Linked DNA regions of Saccharomyces cerevisiae S288C. Changing the gene in region 1 together with any one later gene gives a genetic interaction. Each region holds a gene or a part of one and is shown in the gene's direction. Other genes may lie near its edges. The genes, in order: RRN5, YLL032C, RGD3 and HIM1.

Region 1 (3,416 bases):
CAGATAACCAAGCATCCGGATTGGTCTGGTCGAAATCAGGTAAAAGATCTTGAATGTAATCTGACGTGATCTTATAGTCTGTCTGGCATTGTGGAGTTCTTAAGATAACAGAATTTTCTTGTAATTTCAAAAGAGGCCTCATTGAGGTGGTAACAATGTTATCGAATTCGTCAATCTCGAACCAAATCTGCAAAAAAGGGGACGAGGAGGAGCCAGAGGTGGGCGGCACAGGAGTGAAGTTCAGCTGTATGAAGGATTGATGCGCATTTGTTATTAGATGTTGATCAAGAGGCACAGGCACAGGTACGGCTGATGATGATGATTCTTTGTACATTGGTAGATTCAGTAATTTTGAAATAAAACTCTTATGTATTAGAGGTTGGAAAATACTAGAAAAAGACGCGGACTGTAAGGAGTGACCTAGCGTTATTGATAAAGATTGGGAAATAGAGTCGGAAGGGGAGAGAGATGGTATATTTTTAGACAAGGAAGATTCGAATTGGCTGACCTGCGCATCTGTCAATTCTGGTGTGGCGTTTTCAGTGGGAGTCATCAGATCTGTGCAATTTTTAGGGACAACTGACTGTAATCTTGCCCAATCTTGTGACTTGTTTAGCCAGTCCAAGTTCTCTAGAGTATTGTTGAACGGATAGAGTTCTGTCTTGAGTGCTGGTGAGGCTATTGTGTGGTGGTGTTGAGTTGTGTTAGGATTAGAAGCGACGGCATTTAATAAAAAGACTTTGGCCATGGATATTTTCTTGGTGCTTAGGGCTGAAATCTTGTACATTTGCAAGTCCGGGAGGTATTCAAAAAAAGTGTGAGTTTCCTTCTGAATAAGGTTGATGACGTCTTTTGATGGCATGAGGGAATACATACGCACATTTTCATGAGTGATGTTTGACCATATTTTGTTTAAGGATATTTCTGCGTATTTGAGCAAGCTAGGCGAACCCTTGACGGTCAATTCGTTATCCTGAATGGAGATGATGAATGTCAGCCCGAGCTTATTGAAGTTGGTGAGTATTTTACCATTTTGAGTGATGAGTAAAAGGAAAATTTCTCTAGGAGAATCGAACTGGAAAGTCAATGATGTGGACTTGATGCCTGTGGGAGTGGTGGGTGTTGAAATTGGTTGGCAATTCCAGATTTTTTCAATTATATATTGGGACAGCTTGCTTTTCTTCCAGTGCGTCAGATGTGAAGAGGAGTCTGGCTGATGTGTGGAGATGAACTCGCGCAGTTGGTAGCGATTGTAGCTTGATGTAAGCGATTGGAGAAGGGCATTGTATTCCAGGGAGGGCAGACTGGCGCTTGTCGGTTTCTTCAATCGGATGGAGTTCAATGCGGAATCTAGTGAATTCTGCTTTTCGAAGACAAGGAGTTTCGAGCCGAAATCGAGGTTGTTATCTCCAGTTTCCTTATGGCTACGTTTCTTAGACGGCCTGTGTCTAGGCTGCTTCTGATCATTTTTCACTAGCCCAGATTGGGTAGGGTTCAAGACGACGAATTTCAGATTTTGCGGCAGTTTCTTCTTCCCATGAAGGGGCGAGCTTGGGCCTGAGCTTGAATAAAGACGGTAAGTAAGACGGGCGAGCTTTTTGTTGAATTTCCACATATGCTTACTCTATATTTTCTCCAGTGCCTTCAAGCTCCGTATATATTATGTACTAGTTTTATTACATTAAAGATACATAACTTTTTTTTTTTTTTTCAGTTCACTGAAATAAGAAAAGGCGGGCGAGGTGAAAAACAAAAAAAAAAGTATAGAGAAACAGAAGTGGAAGAAGAGCTAGGAAAGCACAGCGCATACGACGGTCACCTAGGATGGAGCACCAACAATTGCGGAAGTACGTCGAATTGTACAATAAGGAGGTCGAGGAATTCTACAATGGTGCCGCGTCAGGCCGCCCAGCTGAGTTCCATCCTTCCAAAGTACATGTAAAGAGCATCCATGAAAAGGCGGGTACCGCCAATGCTGGTGTAGAAATCTCTAGCGTTGGTGTAGACTGGGACAGCGAGGAGAAGAATACCTTTTTCTGGTGCCTTTCACGCTATAGTATCCACCGTGTAGACGAGTGGCGCTCATTGTTGCCTCGGAAGAGCGCCATGGAGATTCTAGGTTATTACAGGTTGTTAAGGAGAGCGAGTGCGAGCGCGAGATCGCGTAAGGCGGGTGACGACGGAGCGCCCATTGCGTACGAAATGAGCGCTGAGTGGGTTGCCCTGGAGACAAAACTGAGCGAGACAGTGATGGCCATCACGGAAGGCGCAGCCGAGGTTGCCGATGAGGAAGGACACTGCGAGGGCCTTATCGATTATGAAAGCTGGAAACGCAGGTGGGTGGCCATCTACTCGCACAGCCGTATCGCGGAGATAAGACCCTTGCCCCGCCACGCGCTGCCGCTATCGCGCAGCGCGACGCAGACTTTGGAGCGCTGCGTAAGTCGCTACACACGTACATTGCTGTGGTGCACGGCCCTTGCGGGTATGGCTTCCCGCAGCGTCAGCGCCAGGGCGGCCGAATCTCGAGGACACAAGTCGCTACCGACGGTGGTAACTCGCCGGCAAGTTGAGCGTGCACTATGCACAGAAGCCCGATCACGTGACCTACACGTGCTTCCAAGGCGCATTGTTTTGACACTGCGCAAATGGGAACTAGACTATCCGCGAGAGGGCAAACTGTTCCGCACCAAGGAGATGGCACATCTGTTTCTACAAAGCCAGTTGTCCAGACGGGATGCGCCCCCAGTCCATCAAGACGAAAATCAAGAAAATCAAGAAAATCAAGAAAATCAAGAACAAGATAACACTGCAAGTGAAGGTGAAAGCGAGGCAGAAAGGGATGAAATCGACGAAGCGGACTTGTTCCGATCAGCATTACATGAAAATCAGTTGCTAAAATGGTTATCCAAATGAGACACAATGCGAAAAATCGCGCAGGGACATAATTTTTGTTTTCATTATTCTTTCGCTTATTCCCTCCGTTAGCTCCACCGCTTTTTTGATTGGAATTTCCTTTCGGCAATGGCTTTCCGGTTACCACGCCTCGGGTTTCGCATCCCGAAAAGCATATCTACACAAGAAAAATGAATGATAAACAATTGATGAGTGGCGCTATTTCCCTTATCATCTCATTATTGTACTTAGTATCGTCTATTATCAGGAGAAATCGCATGAACTAAGCCCATTTTCTCACCCTTCTGCCTTCTTATATAAAGCTTGCTGGGAACCGAACACAAACTCCACAAGTCCGTAGCAGCTCTTCTCTTTTGTCTTTTATATATCATAAACATCGCTACATAGTAATAACACTAACGCACGCTAGAAATGATAGCTTCCAAAAGCTCCTTATTAGTTACTAAATCGCGCATACCCTCTCTATGCTTTCCTTTGATAAAGAGGTCCTATGTGTCAAA
Region 2 (4,828 bases), 350 kb from region 1:
TCAAGAATTGCTGTCATGTTTATGATTATTCATGCTTTGCTTTTCACTTCCAATTCATTTACTATTTGGGAGGATAGAATTGTAGCATTCCTTTTATCTACTTTCGGCATGTTGACGTTGTATGAATTTGTCTTCTTACCAAAAAGGCAATCCACCACTGCATTATTAACTGCAACAATCAGTGAAAAGGAAGGAACCACTTCAGGGGTCAATCCTTCGACAGCAAATTCAAATTACTTACCATTAACAAGATTTGCAAGATTACTAGGAGGTTACCATTCTGCAGTTTTAATCATTTTTACCCGGTTAGCTTCTATGATTACCATTTGTAGAGAGGAACAAGGCGAATATTGTATTCCAACATTTAATAATCAAAACAATTCCTCGTGGTGGGTTTTGGGTCTCTGTTTCCTAATGATATTCATATTACCTGCATGCATCACCGGTTATTATAATCTAACATCGTCTTATCAAGCTGCAGCTCCAATTTGGATAAACGTTTTCCTAAAGGGTATCCTTGGTTTGAACTTTGTTTATTGGTCATTGACTTCATTAGAAAATAACAGTGCGGTAATAGCAATACCGTTCTTACGGGACGTCACTATTTTTAAATTTACGTTGGCTAGAATTATTGCCGGTTTTTCATTGATTGCTTCTAATGTCGGCTGGCTAATGGGACCACTTTGTATTAAATTAAACATTCATAATACTGATGTTAAGTCTCACGAAGCAACAATTTTAGGTTATACTAATATTTACGGCTCAGAGTTTTTTCTTTTGGTCATAAACGTTCTCATTAGTATCCTACTATTCAACAAACCCCTGGCCCAGTTGTCATACTTCCTCATGTGCAACCAACTACTATCAATTTTAGAAATTATCGATCTTTTAAAATTAAAGGAAAACATAATTGGTCCAATTGCGTTGGGACTCTTATCTTACCAACATTTTTTCACCACCGGTCATCAAGCCACAATTCCATCAGTGCAATGGGATATCGGATTTATGCTGTCTGAAAAGGTAACGTTCCCCTTCACTCAGATAGCCATCATCCTAAATACATTTGGGCCTCATATTCTCGTCTCCTTATCTGTAGCGTTACTGACACTGTGGTCACAGCCTCCTGATGTGTTGAAGCCACAAACACTTTTAGGAAGAATTGTGTCAAACTGCGGTATATTACTCACTTACAATACTATTTTATGTCTAAGCTCCTTTATTTGGGTTACTCACTTCCGTAGACACTTGATGGTTTGGAAAATCTTCTGCCCAAGGTTTATCTTTGCTTCTTTAAGTTTAATAGTCACTCAACTGGTCGTTACTTTTGGTACAATTGCATTTGCTAGTGGGAGATTGATTAAGCACATAAATGACATTTTTTGGAAATGACGAACTTCATTTCCACTCTTTACTTACAAATATACTATATATATATATCTACATGTAATTTAGATACAAGTAAATCATATCTCTTGATATTGCAAAAATTTGAAAGCAAAAGCATCTCTTTTCTGCAGCTTTATTCTTTTAAGATTGTACATTTTTCTATCACTTTCTTGTAATCCTAAATTATATTTTTCTCCAAAATTTTTCTTTTCGCTTGTAGATTGTTTTTTTTCCACAAAGGCAAAAAACAAAAACAAAATAAAAGAAATAAAGGATGAAAAGTCATCTTTGTTTATATAGCTAACCTCTTGACTACCTGAACCTTTTGAAGCACTATTCAAGCCCGCAGAGGTTAAGTCTACACAATTGTTTAAAAAGAAAAACAGCAGTAAACACACGGTTGAGGCATGGATAACTTCAAAATTTACAGTACAGTTATCACAACTGCTTTTTTACAAGTTCCACACTTATACACGACAAATAGATTATGGAAGCCCATAGAAGCACCTTTTTTAGTTGAATTTCTTCAAAAAAGAATAAGCTCCAAAGAACTTAAAAACACAAAAGCAATCTGTCATATAGATCCCTCATGGGTCAATCTAAATGCTTCTTTCATTAGAGATGACATGATCTCAATAAAAGCTACCACAGATGATATGGACCTCGATGCTATTTGCAGGATTTCTTTGCCCTTACCTATGAACACAAATGATCTAACAGCAGAATTGGAAAAAATGAAACGTATACTATTGGACTTGAGTGAAAAATTCAATTTAGAACTAATCATCACCAAAGAACCAGCTTACTTCACACCAGAACAGACAGGCGAGAGCAAGGAATTATGTATTTACGTGCATGCATTAGGATTCCGATCTAATTTAATGGAATGCGAACCCCAGTTATTGGCATTTGTCGATTTAATAAAGAAGAATGGTATGACTTTGCCTCCACAACACTACATTATCGAACCTATGGAACTGAACTCATACTCTGTGCTTCCCTTATATATGGGTGTAGATATGGAAAACTTCAAACATATATCCAGAGCTTTTAAAACCAGCATTTACGCACCTTCCCTCATTACGCTGTCTAGGGATCTTAAGGCAAATCCACAAATCTTCTTCTCAGGCGCTGTCCATTCACTAAGTTTACTGGCTAGGAAAACTCTACGTGAGTCCATAAGCGTGAATTCAAAGAGTTTTTTTTATCGTCGATTGACTAATATTACCCCAGGAAAACTACTGTTTATCCGAAAATACTACCAACAAAAGGTAAACCAGTTAATTTTGAAATACCAATCGCTTATTAGAGTTACTAACGAATACATTGAATTTCAATCGATTTCCACGAACTTATTAGAAATGGTTATTAAGAACTTCACTATTCAAGTATTACATGAAATTGTAGAAGTACAGATTTCACTCAATGAAAACTGCGCAATGTCCCCGGAATTAATAATCGACAGCTTTTTCGGACACACTGGAAACCAAATTGTAGTAATAACTCCCAAAGAGGATTCCTTCAACCAATTAATAGTAGTTGGTAACCAATCTTCCACAGATGAGGCGTCCGATACTTCCATATTGCATTACTTATCTGATTTTATTATGGGCTCAAATCAAGTGATTAATCCAAACTTAAGACAGATAAAAGCCATTTTCGAGATACATCCTGATTTTGAAGACTTCATATCAGGCAAGAAAAATGGTAAATTAACACGTATAATGGAACTATCTGCTTGCTTAATTCAACTGGAAATGGAAGAGGAAGATGATAACCTTTATTTAAATTTGGTTAGTGACTCTTTCCCTGATTTCAAGGAATCATTTAAGAATGTTATAAATGAATTTCCTGCCGAAGAATCTTTCTTCATTCCTGAAGTTTGTCACAGACCGATTATAGGTACAGGTGGTTCCTTAATTCAAGCCACAATGAGAAAGCATAACGTCTTCATTCAGTTTTCCAATAGTTTCAATCTTCCACAAAATAAAATTTCTATGATCAGGTATGATAATGTGATAATTAGGTGCCCCAGGAAAAACAAAGCTAATATATGCCTAGCCAAGAATGATTTAAAACAAATTGTTCAAGAATATGATAGTTTACAATCGAAGACGCTCATTAGATTTTCTAGTGGGCAATATAGACATATTTTGCATGTTAACGGCCAAAAGAATATTATAGGACAAATCGAAAAGAACGAAAATGTTTACATAATGATACCGTTAAAAGAGCCCTTGGATGGAACATCTCAATTGAGTATACAAGGAAATGATGAGAATGCATCAAGAGCCGCTAACGAATTGGTTAATAGTGCGTTTGGTTATGAATACGAGTTCAAAATAGATCAAGAGATAGATCCCAATAAAGAATACGAATTTTATAACCTAATTGTTGTTCCATTTTTGCAAATTATGAACATAATTGTAACTTTTGAGAAGGACCTTATCACTTTTACTTTTGAAAAGGATACTAATGAGAATACTCTAACAAAAGCAATCGAATTACTATCCAATTATTTGGAAACACAAAAGACGAAAATAATATTTAAAAAAATAATTAAAAAATTTGTTCTAGGGTCTGCCTCCAGCAAGAGTAACACCAGTAATAGCAATACCAATGGCAATTTCAGATCAATGAATAATGCCAAAAGTCGTACGACCATCGATAATACCAGCCAATCAGGAGCCTCACCACAACGCCACAAAATGCCTGTTATAACGACGGTAGGAGGAGCCCAAGCCATCAAAGGATATATACCAAACACTTATTACAACGGATATGGGTATGGATACGGATATACATACGAGTACGATTATAATTATGCCAACTCTAATAAAGCTCAAACCAATAATAGGCATAAATATCAAAATGGCAGAAAATGAGAAGGAAAAAAGTTCAGTAGTATTGTAACGTTCTACGCACCTTTTCAATGGATATGCACACCACAAAATATGTCATTGCGCATATCCGCATCTATTACAGTATTTGATTGATATTTTACCATACATACTAAAAAGCTCCGCTCCGCTCCTCTTTTACGATAATGATCTTTATAACCTTGTACCTAATGTCTCATTGAGATATATCAATGTTGTATCGAAATCACTAAATACTTTGAAAAGCGGAATCTTTTTCTTTTCGGTTTTATTTAGCTTAGTTAGCGGACTAGAAGTAGTTTTCAAATGAGAGAATTTGACGTCAAGCTCATCATGGCCTATTCCTCTATGCAAAATCGATCTGTACTTTTCATATTGCATTGTTAAAAGGTTCTTTAAAATTTGCCTGCAATATGTGTTGTCCCTTGCAATATCCCACTTTTGAACTTTTGTTTCGGGCAAGTATGAACAGCTCTTCAGAACAAATTCCAAGGTTCTTTGCATCTCAGTCACGGGGAGTATCCTTTCACAACATTTCGTGTTGCTGAGAAGCTCAAGATTGA
Region 3 (4,787 bases), on another chromosome or scaffold:
AACTATTTAAAACATCAAGCCAAATATATGCGGAGCACAGAGAAATATTTGTGAATTATATCTTTTGTTGGAAAGACAAGCAACTATCCTAGCGACATTAGGATTGCCAAGACATCCGGTTTTATTCAGACCCTTACATCAGCAGCAGCACGTTCCATCTTTTCAAACTTCCTGCCAAACATTTATGAAGACATGAAACTCTAAAATGTCATCTATTTATAGTAGTCATATTACTATTATATTATTACATGCGGTGTAAGAAGATGACATAGGATTGGGACACAGTCATCGAACTTAATGGACGCTGAAGTGCAAGGATTGATAATGTAATGGGATAATGAAACATATAAAACGGAATGAGGAATAATCCTAATATTATCATGTAGAAATATCGATTCCATTTTGAGGATTCCTATATCCTCTAGGAGAACTTCTAGCATATTCTATATACCTAATATTATTGTCTTTGTGAACAATGGATTCCCACAAATTATCTCAAAATTCACAAATATCTCATTCTCGCATTCCAACAGTTATGTTACTCATTCTATTCGTTTGTTATGTGTGTTTTATGAACGTTTGGGATGACGTATTGTCATACTGACGTATCTTATTTTGAGATACAACATAGTTGTATTTTTAGCCTCCTTAGCTTAGTGGTAGAGCGTTGCACTTGTAATGCAAAGGTCGCTAGTTCAATTCTGGCAGGTGGCATTATACCGGTATTATTTTTTTTCCCTTTGTTCTTATTTCTCTATCATTTATAACTTTATGATTTTTTAAAGGTTGAATGGTCAATGTGAAAATTAAAACTAAAAACATATAGTTGACAAGTGAGAAAAAGAGCAAAAGGGAGAAAAGAAATTGTTAGAATAAAACCATGCTGTTAGAATTGATTTCTTATGCAGGAACCGTTTCAGGGTTTCTTTTTTTAACACTTTCAATTGCATCGGGTTTATACTACATTAGTGAACTTGTTGAAGAACACACAGAACCCACAAGACGGTTTCTCACAAGGGCTATTTATGGTATAATATTAATATTAATTCTGCTACTGTTACTAGACGGTTTCCCGTTCAAACTTACACTTTTTTCCATTGCATGTTACATAGTATATTACCAAAACTTAAAAAGTTTCCCATTTATTTCGTTAACCAGCCCAACTTTCCTATTAAGCTGCGTATGTGTGGTCTTGAATCACTACTTCTGGTTCAAATATTTTAATGATACGGAAGTTCCCCCACAGTTCAAATTTGATCCAAATTATATACCACGCAGACGTGCTAGTTTCGCTGAAGTAGCCTCATTTTTTGGTATATGCGTTTGGTTCATACCATTTGCCTTATTTGTTTCTCTGTCAGCTGGTGATTATGTGCTACCAACGACTAGTGAGCAACATATGGCTAAGAAAAATGATGACATCACAACGAACAACCAGCCAAAATTTCGTAAAAGGGCTGTTGGGTTAGCTCGTGTAGTCATCAACTCGGTAAGGAAGTACATCTACTCTCTAGCCCGTGTATTCGGTTATGAGATAGAACCTGACTTTGATAGATTGGCTGTTTAGGATTGCCTTTTTTTTTAACATGTAGTTAGTTTTTCTTTATTTGAATATTCTAAATAAGAAATATGTGTAATGCTCTGCCAACTATTTTGCACAGGAAAGAAAAATCACCAATACAATACTACTATATTTTACCCAAGTTAATACGGGAAAGTATATTTTCTTTTCCATATTTTTCTTTTTTATTGACGTTTGCATTTTTTAGAGCAACTAGTAAACAAAAAACCAGTCAGGCCCAGTAGATTAAGTATTGTCATTACATAGACAAAGGCAAGAGAAAGAGAGCATTTTCTTTCGGTCTCTAGTTATGTCTGTTAAAGAGCATAACGAAGAAGATATTATTGGTGATGAATTACAGAATTCGAGGCAACTCTCCATTGATTGCGACTCAGTTAAAATTTCACTAAGGAACACATATTGGACCAAAGACTATACAACAGGTATCAAATTATTCATAAAACATATGAAGAGAGAAAATGATTTGCTGATTAAAGACATCAAATTTTACAATGATTTTGTCAACAAATTTTGGAAACCAACATTGAACAATTTACAAAAAATGGAAGCAACCAATTCAATGAATAGCAGGCTGCTGGAAGTGATGAGCAAACAGTTTAATATAATATCAACAGAGCAAGTTGAAAGAGATTGTAAAATTCCATTGCAAGAACTAAGAGATCTTAATGAGAGCTTCCTTCGTGAGGCAGAAAACGATTTGTCATCTCGTTATTCAGCTTACATTAAGGATTTAGTCGCAGCTAAAGAGGCACTAATTGGATGTGAGAAAAGAGTTCAGTCTATATATAAATTGAAAAAAGCCAATACGCCAGTGGAAAATTCTTCCTCTGTTTTTGATAATGGAAAGGATAGTGCACCGTTAACCAGGTTGAACTTCGTATGCGAGTTTCCTTACACTTTAGACGAGAGGTTAAAATTTGAGGATTGCGACCAATTTATGTCATTTTTGCAAACCTTGAAGGGAAAAGTCATCCTGGAGAAAAGTGTCTTTTCCGTTCCAGGATTGTCAAATCAAAGTTTCCAAGGCAGGTCATTGATCAAAGAATTGAAAAAACTTGAACCCAGACTAAACCTGTCCTTATTTAATATCGATAGGATAGGTAACGAATTCATCCAACTGGGTATAATACAAGAATATTCCCTGAGTTTTTACTCTAGCAAAGTTTCTCAGTTTGACCAGGAAAAATACTATTACTGGAACAGTGAAGTCCTTGCTACGCAAGAGAGTAATGGTAATGCTGGAAACAGAAAAAAAAAATCGTATGGTGAGTTAACACACTCCGACAATGAACACGAAGAAAAGTCCAACGTTTCATCTATCAAAACATCTATATCCGATTGGATCCGCAAAGTTAGTCAACATGATAATGATGATTGCGATGCAGCGGGAAGTACAGATATGAATAAAAATGAGTGGAAGAGTTTAAAACAGCAACTTGAATCATCACAAGATATTTTTTTCTCCAAGTGTTGCCAGTTGGAATATTCTAAAGTGCAGTTGGAAAAAACCATTTATGATTATTGTAAAAATTACTCTAAAATGGAGGACGGAATCAAACGAGCTCTAGAATCATCAAACATGATGTTTCAACAAAAATGTGAAAAATTTACTGACTCACCTGTGTGTTCTCTACAAGAAGCACAACTGCCACAGGAAACTGCCAATGCGGATGTAAGAGGGTTTTTCCTCAGGGATAATGGCATACCCTTTCGCAGGTGGAATATCCTAGAAGCGAGTGATCCAGTCGACGCTTGCAAAGAAATCTCCATAAAAAGCGAAAAGTTTTTCTGTGGTAGTGAAATAAATAATGAACTGGCTGCTCTTGATACGTTAGGGGCAATAAAGATTATACTGCGGCAGATTGAAAAGGAACCAAATGCTAATAAAGTCATACAAAGTTGGCACAGGGATATTGATTTTGTAAGGGTTTCTAATTTGAAAAGAGACTTATTGGGGGAATTCAAAGGATCGAAAACTACCGAAAATACAAACTCTATAATCACTGCTCATTTTTTTGAAAACTCGCACAGCTATGTCACTAATGATCTCGTCGGACTGATAAAATTATGGCTGTTAGAGCTACCCGACAGCCTAATACCTTCAAACCACTACGATGACTTAATTAAGGCCGAAAAATCGCTAACATCCCTATGTGAACAGTTTCCGACGAGCTCCTTAAGGTTTCTACAAGAACTAGCAAACCATTTTCAATTGATCAATAGCAAATACTCACTTCCGCCGCAAACAATACAAGATTTGTTTAGAGACAACAGTGACATAGACATACCATTGGCCCATCACTTCGTAAGAAGAACAGGCTTACAGAACCCTATCGACATCAAAATCTTGTCACCAACATTATCTACATTTTTCATCAACGAAAGAACTGTAGAAACTTTGCAAACGTTGATCGCAAACAGGATCACGACGGCAACTACTGCGACACTCACTGAACCGCCGACGATAATTATAAAGGATACAACGGCACCTATACACTCTACCCCTAAGCCACCGCCAAACGACAAGGATGGCCATTTCATACCTCGGCCATTCAAGACTAGTTCTACTCCGACAACCCCAGAGAGACCTAAACGTAAGAGTGGTTTATTCCTTCCCATCAACGTCAACGATGTCCCTTCTACATAACTCCATGCATGCTACATAGTAACTACGTAAATCACCTGCTACCTCTCTGTTCTTTCGTCCCGCCTCGAGGTTGTGCTGCTTTTGTACCTATTGTGGCTGTCGGTGTTACATTACGGTGCCTCGGTGTTACGCGGTGCTTCGTCCTGGTGGTCCACGCGGCCTTGCGCTTTGGCCTTGGTGGGCTTCGAGGCTGTATTATATAAATGGGCCTGATGTTCGTTAAAAGCTGCAGTATTGTTCCTGAGCTTGTTTCTTTTTCAAAGGTTTCCTTTTTTCTTAGTGGGGTCCTTTCTTACATAATAAAGTAAATAGCCTGATACATATAAACCTGTATTGTTGCCATTACAGAAAAAAGCCACTTTCTATACAAAAACTACAATAAAATGTCTGCTGATTTCGGTTTGATTGGTTTGGCCGTCATGGGTCAAAATTTGATCTTGAACGCTGCTGACCACGGTTTCACTGTTTGTGCTTACAACAGAACTCAATCCAAGGTCGACCATTTCTTGGCCAATGAAGCTAAGGGCAAATCTATCATCGGTGCTACTTCCATTGAAG
Region 4 (3,560 bases), on another chromosome or scaffold:
ACGATACAAAGATAATAAATCTGGGTGAAAGTGATAACGAAATTCAGTACGACATACTTGGCTTAGAAATCAAATATCAAAGAGGTAAATACATGAAATTAGGTATGGAAAACTCATTAACTGAGAAAATACCCAAATTAAACGTACCTTTGAATCCAAAAGGAAGAAAACTTAGCGCTCCAGGTCAACCAGGTCTTTATATAGACCAGGATGAACTAGAAATAGATGAAGATGAATACAAAGAGAAGGTACATGAAATGCAAAAGTTGATTGGTCTAGCTTCATATGTTGGATATAAATTTAGATTTGACTTACTATACTACATCAACACACTTGCTCAACATATACTATTCCCCTCTAGGCAAGTTTTAGACATGACATATGAGTTAATACAATTCATGTGGGACACTAGAGATAAACAACTGATATGGCACAAAAACAAACCTACCGAGCCAGATAATAAACTAGTCGCAATAAGTGATGCTTCATATGGTAACCAACCATATTACAAGTCACAAATTGGCAACATATATTTACTTAATGGAAAGGTAATTGGAGGAAAGTCCACCAAGGCTTCATTAACATGTACTTCAACTACGGAAGCAGAAATACACGCGATAAGTGAATCTGTCCCATTATTAAATAACCTCAGTCACCTTGTGCAAGAACTTAACAAGAAACCAATTACTAAAGGATTACTAACCGACAGTAAATCTACAATCAGTATAATTATATCCAATAATGAAGAGAAATTTAGAAACAGATTTTTTGGTACTAAAGCAATGAGACTAAGAGATGAAGTATCAGGAAATCATCTGCACGTATGCTATATCGAAACCAAAAAGAATATTGCAGACGTAATGACCAAACCTCTTCCGATAAAAACATTCAAACTATTAACAAACAAATGGATTCATTAGATCTATTACATTATGGGTGGTATGTTGGAATAAAAATCCACTATCGTCTATCAACTAATAGTTATATTATCAATATATTATCATATACGGTGTTAAGATGATGACATAAGTTATGAGAAGCTGTCATCGATGTTAGAGGAAGCTGAAACGCAAGGATTGATAATGTAATAGGATCAATGAATATAAACATATAAAACGGAATGAGGAATAATCGTAATATTAGTATGTAGAAATATAGATTCCATTTTGAGGATTCCTATATCCTCGAGGAGAACTTCTAGTATATTCTGTATACCTAATATTATAGCCTTTATCAACAATGGAATCCCAACAATTATCTAATTACCCACATATTTCTCAAATCTCCTATATTACGATCTATTCTTTAGTCTAAATGTTACCAATCGTTATCCTTTTTTATCATCAATCCGTGCGTTTCAGTTGCTTTTAAATTTGATAACGCATTCTTATCATTTATGTCATTTTATTACATCATATATGATAATATTCCGTCACCTTGAATACTCATCAAGAAACGATAAGTTGTTGTAATTTAACAGTAACTCTGCATATAATTCAACAGGTAAAAACTAACTTTTATATCCTTGAACTTCTTCATTTTTGTGTCTTTCATTGAAAGTATAATTTTCCTTTTTTTTTTTTGGTTTTCAATACATATAATGATGGGTGACATTTTTTGTGTCATTTAGATTAAAAGAAATTTTAAGAAAAATTGACGTATTTAATTTTGATCCGCAGTAAACGCTATAAATTCTTTTTAATATAAATGACAGCTTTTTATACATATAGACCCTTTGAAGAATATTCCAAACTAGAAAGGTTGATCAGAAATGAGTTATAGTGTCAACACGTTTACAGATTACGTTTTATTGTTTGGATCATCTAGTTTAGTAGGAAAAGGTATTTTAGAGAACCTGTTGGACATAAATTTATATATTAAAAATGTTTCGGACCTACAAGGCAAGCTTGATAGCTTAAGTGAAATAAAGGGAAATGTCGTTCTCAATAAACATGTCTTTTGTGTTAATAGAAGGTGCATCAATGAGGAGAAATCATTTATGAAGACCATTGATTATATAAATATGAGATCAGTTACTTGGCAAGGTGGCAGATATTACTTGAGAAGCAGGAAAGAAAAAGACACTGAAAAAGTACCGTCTAGTCCTAATACTTTTTGTTATGATAATTTTGAAGAAGGATTTATTAAAAATACGCCTGAAGAGAGGGGAAAAGATGGTTATTCTTTTGTTTATAATCAGAAACAGTTCAGTTACACACTACATTATGCATGCGGAAAGGAAAAAGGTATTGAGATCATTTGTAATTTTACTGTAACGCAATTGATCATCCCCAGATCTGAAACTTGGCCAAAATTGCTTCCACGGATATTCTCAGGAACACAAAAGCTGGAAAAGTTTGACATTGACAACAAAAATTACGTTCCCGGTAGAAGTTTGCCTAGTCTGTGTGATATTAGCACTATGGTGTGCTCTTTGGGCTCCACCTCAGCTAGAGTGCGGAGAACTCAGGTACCAAGTTCCTTTGCTGACTATTACTTACCTTTTAATTTAGCACAAGAATTCACGAATACAACTAACAAAAGGTTGGTGGTTACAACTGCCTTTAATAATGATTTTCTTAGTAAAACTTTCGAGTATTTTAGAATAAAAGCTAAATTAGAAAATGACTTGGATGAAGCTTTGCCAAATAAGCTAAAGGAGCTAGTTATTTTGAGGCCAGGTCCGATGTGTGGACAGCACGGAAATCCTATAAACGTTGAATTGGGTAAAGAAAACTCCACTTTCTTGGAAAAAATTTTTTATTATCCTCACTATCTTTTAGTTTATAAAAAGAAATATATCAGTGAGGCCAGAAGGATTGGCTTAAGAACAAAGTTAAGCGAAATAATTGCTTCCAGTATATATAGGATGCCAGGATCTGCATTATTAGGATACGCTGTCCCAGTTTCAAAGGTTTCTTATGTTGCCTCTTTGATGGCGATTGAAAGGAAAAGTAAAGAGGCGGGACCTAAGCTGGAAGTAATTAGCAGTTATCAAATTGATATGATTGTGTGAACAGTCAGTCTTTTCTTTTGATAGATGCGAAGTTATTAAATAAATAGTAGCCTAATACATAAAAGAACCACTATATCATGGATTCGATACCTGGGCCGTCTTAAATTTTTATCGCATTGAATATGCAAACTTTATGTATTGTTTTACTAATCGCCAGTAATGGCCGACCAATTCTATGATAGATCTTCCCTAAGTTTATAATGATGGTAAGAAAACGCGCATATTTCAAAACTGAAGAAAAAACAAACAAAAGCCATATGGATAATGAGGGGAAAATGTGATTTCTTTACTTGAGCAATTCTTTCAAACTATCAGTAACGCTCCTGGCAATGAGTAGAATCGATGATTTACAGCAGGACATTGAATCTTTACTCAGTGAAAGTATGTGATTTTGAGGCTGTAACAATTTTCTTTCTTTTAAAAAAATGATTAAGTTGAACACTAACATAGTAGAATCTTCACAGTCAATTCATTAGAAGAAAGTCGTGAGAAGCTCAAAGCGAAGATAAAAGATAAAAGAAAAAATGAGGAGAGCGCTAATCCT

What was found.
Region 2: mutations in RRN5 (region 1) and YLL032C together harm fitness more than expected from each alone (negative genetic interaction), as found in Saccharomyces cerevisiae (one large-scale study listed by BioGRID).
Region 3: mutations in RRN5 (region 1) and RGD3 together harm fitness more than expected from each alone (negative genetic interaction), as found in Saccharomyces cerevisiae (one large-scale study listed by BioGRID).
Region 4: mutations in RRN5 (region 1) and HIM1 together harm fitness more than expected from each alone (negative genetic interaction), as found in Saccharomyces cerevisiae (one large-scale study listed by BioGRID).

The regions. Positions count from the first base shown.
Region 1 is NC_001144.5:421,859-425,274, forward strand, and holds RRN5 (Rrn5p), read left to right. Parts: upstream 1-1,824; coding exon 1,825-2,916; downstream 2,917-3,416. Other genes in the region: SLS1 (Sls1p), read right to left, coding at 1-1,615; PUT1 (proline dehydrogenase), read left to right, coding at 3,328-3,416. UniProt on the Saccharomyces cerevisiae protein: Component of the UAF (upstream activation factor) complex which interacts with the upstream element of the RNA polymerase I promoter and forms a stable preinitiation complex.
Region 2 is NC_001144.5:73,713-78,540, reverse strand, and holds YLL032C (uncharacterized protein), read left to right. Parts: upstream 1-1,793; coding exon 1,794-4,271; downstream 4,272-4,828. Other genes in the region: mannose-ethanolamine phosphotransferase GPI13, read left to right, coding at 1-1,389; IRC19 (Irc19p), read right to left, coding at 4,440-4,828.
Region 3 is NC_001140.6:466,348-471,134, forward strand, and holds RGD3 (Rgd3p), read left to right. Parts: upstream 1-1,871; coding exon 1,872-4,229; downstream 4,230-4,787. Other genes in the region: SVP26 (Svp26p), read left to right, coding at 881-1,567; phosphogluconate dehydrogenase (decarboxylating) GND1, read left to right, coding at 4,613-4,787. UniProt on the Saccharomyces cerevisiae protein: GTPase activating protein (GAP) for RHO3 and CDC42 that binds membranes through phosphatidylinositol 4,5-bisphosphate. Plays a key role in cell polarity. Modulates the RHO3 distribution at the plasma membrane and its polarity during growth.
Region 4 is NC_001136.10:1,100,413-1,103,972, forward strand, and holds HIM1 (Him1p), read left to right. Parts: upstream 1-1,771; coding exon 1,772-3,016; downstream 3,017-3,560. Other genes in the region: MCM21 (Mcm21p), read left to right, coding at 3,346-3,397, 3,481-3,560. UniProt on the Saccharomyces cerevisiae protein: May participate in the control of processing of mutational intermediates appearing during error-prone bypass of DNA damage.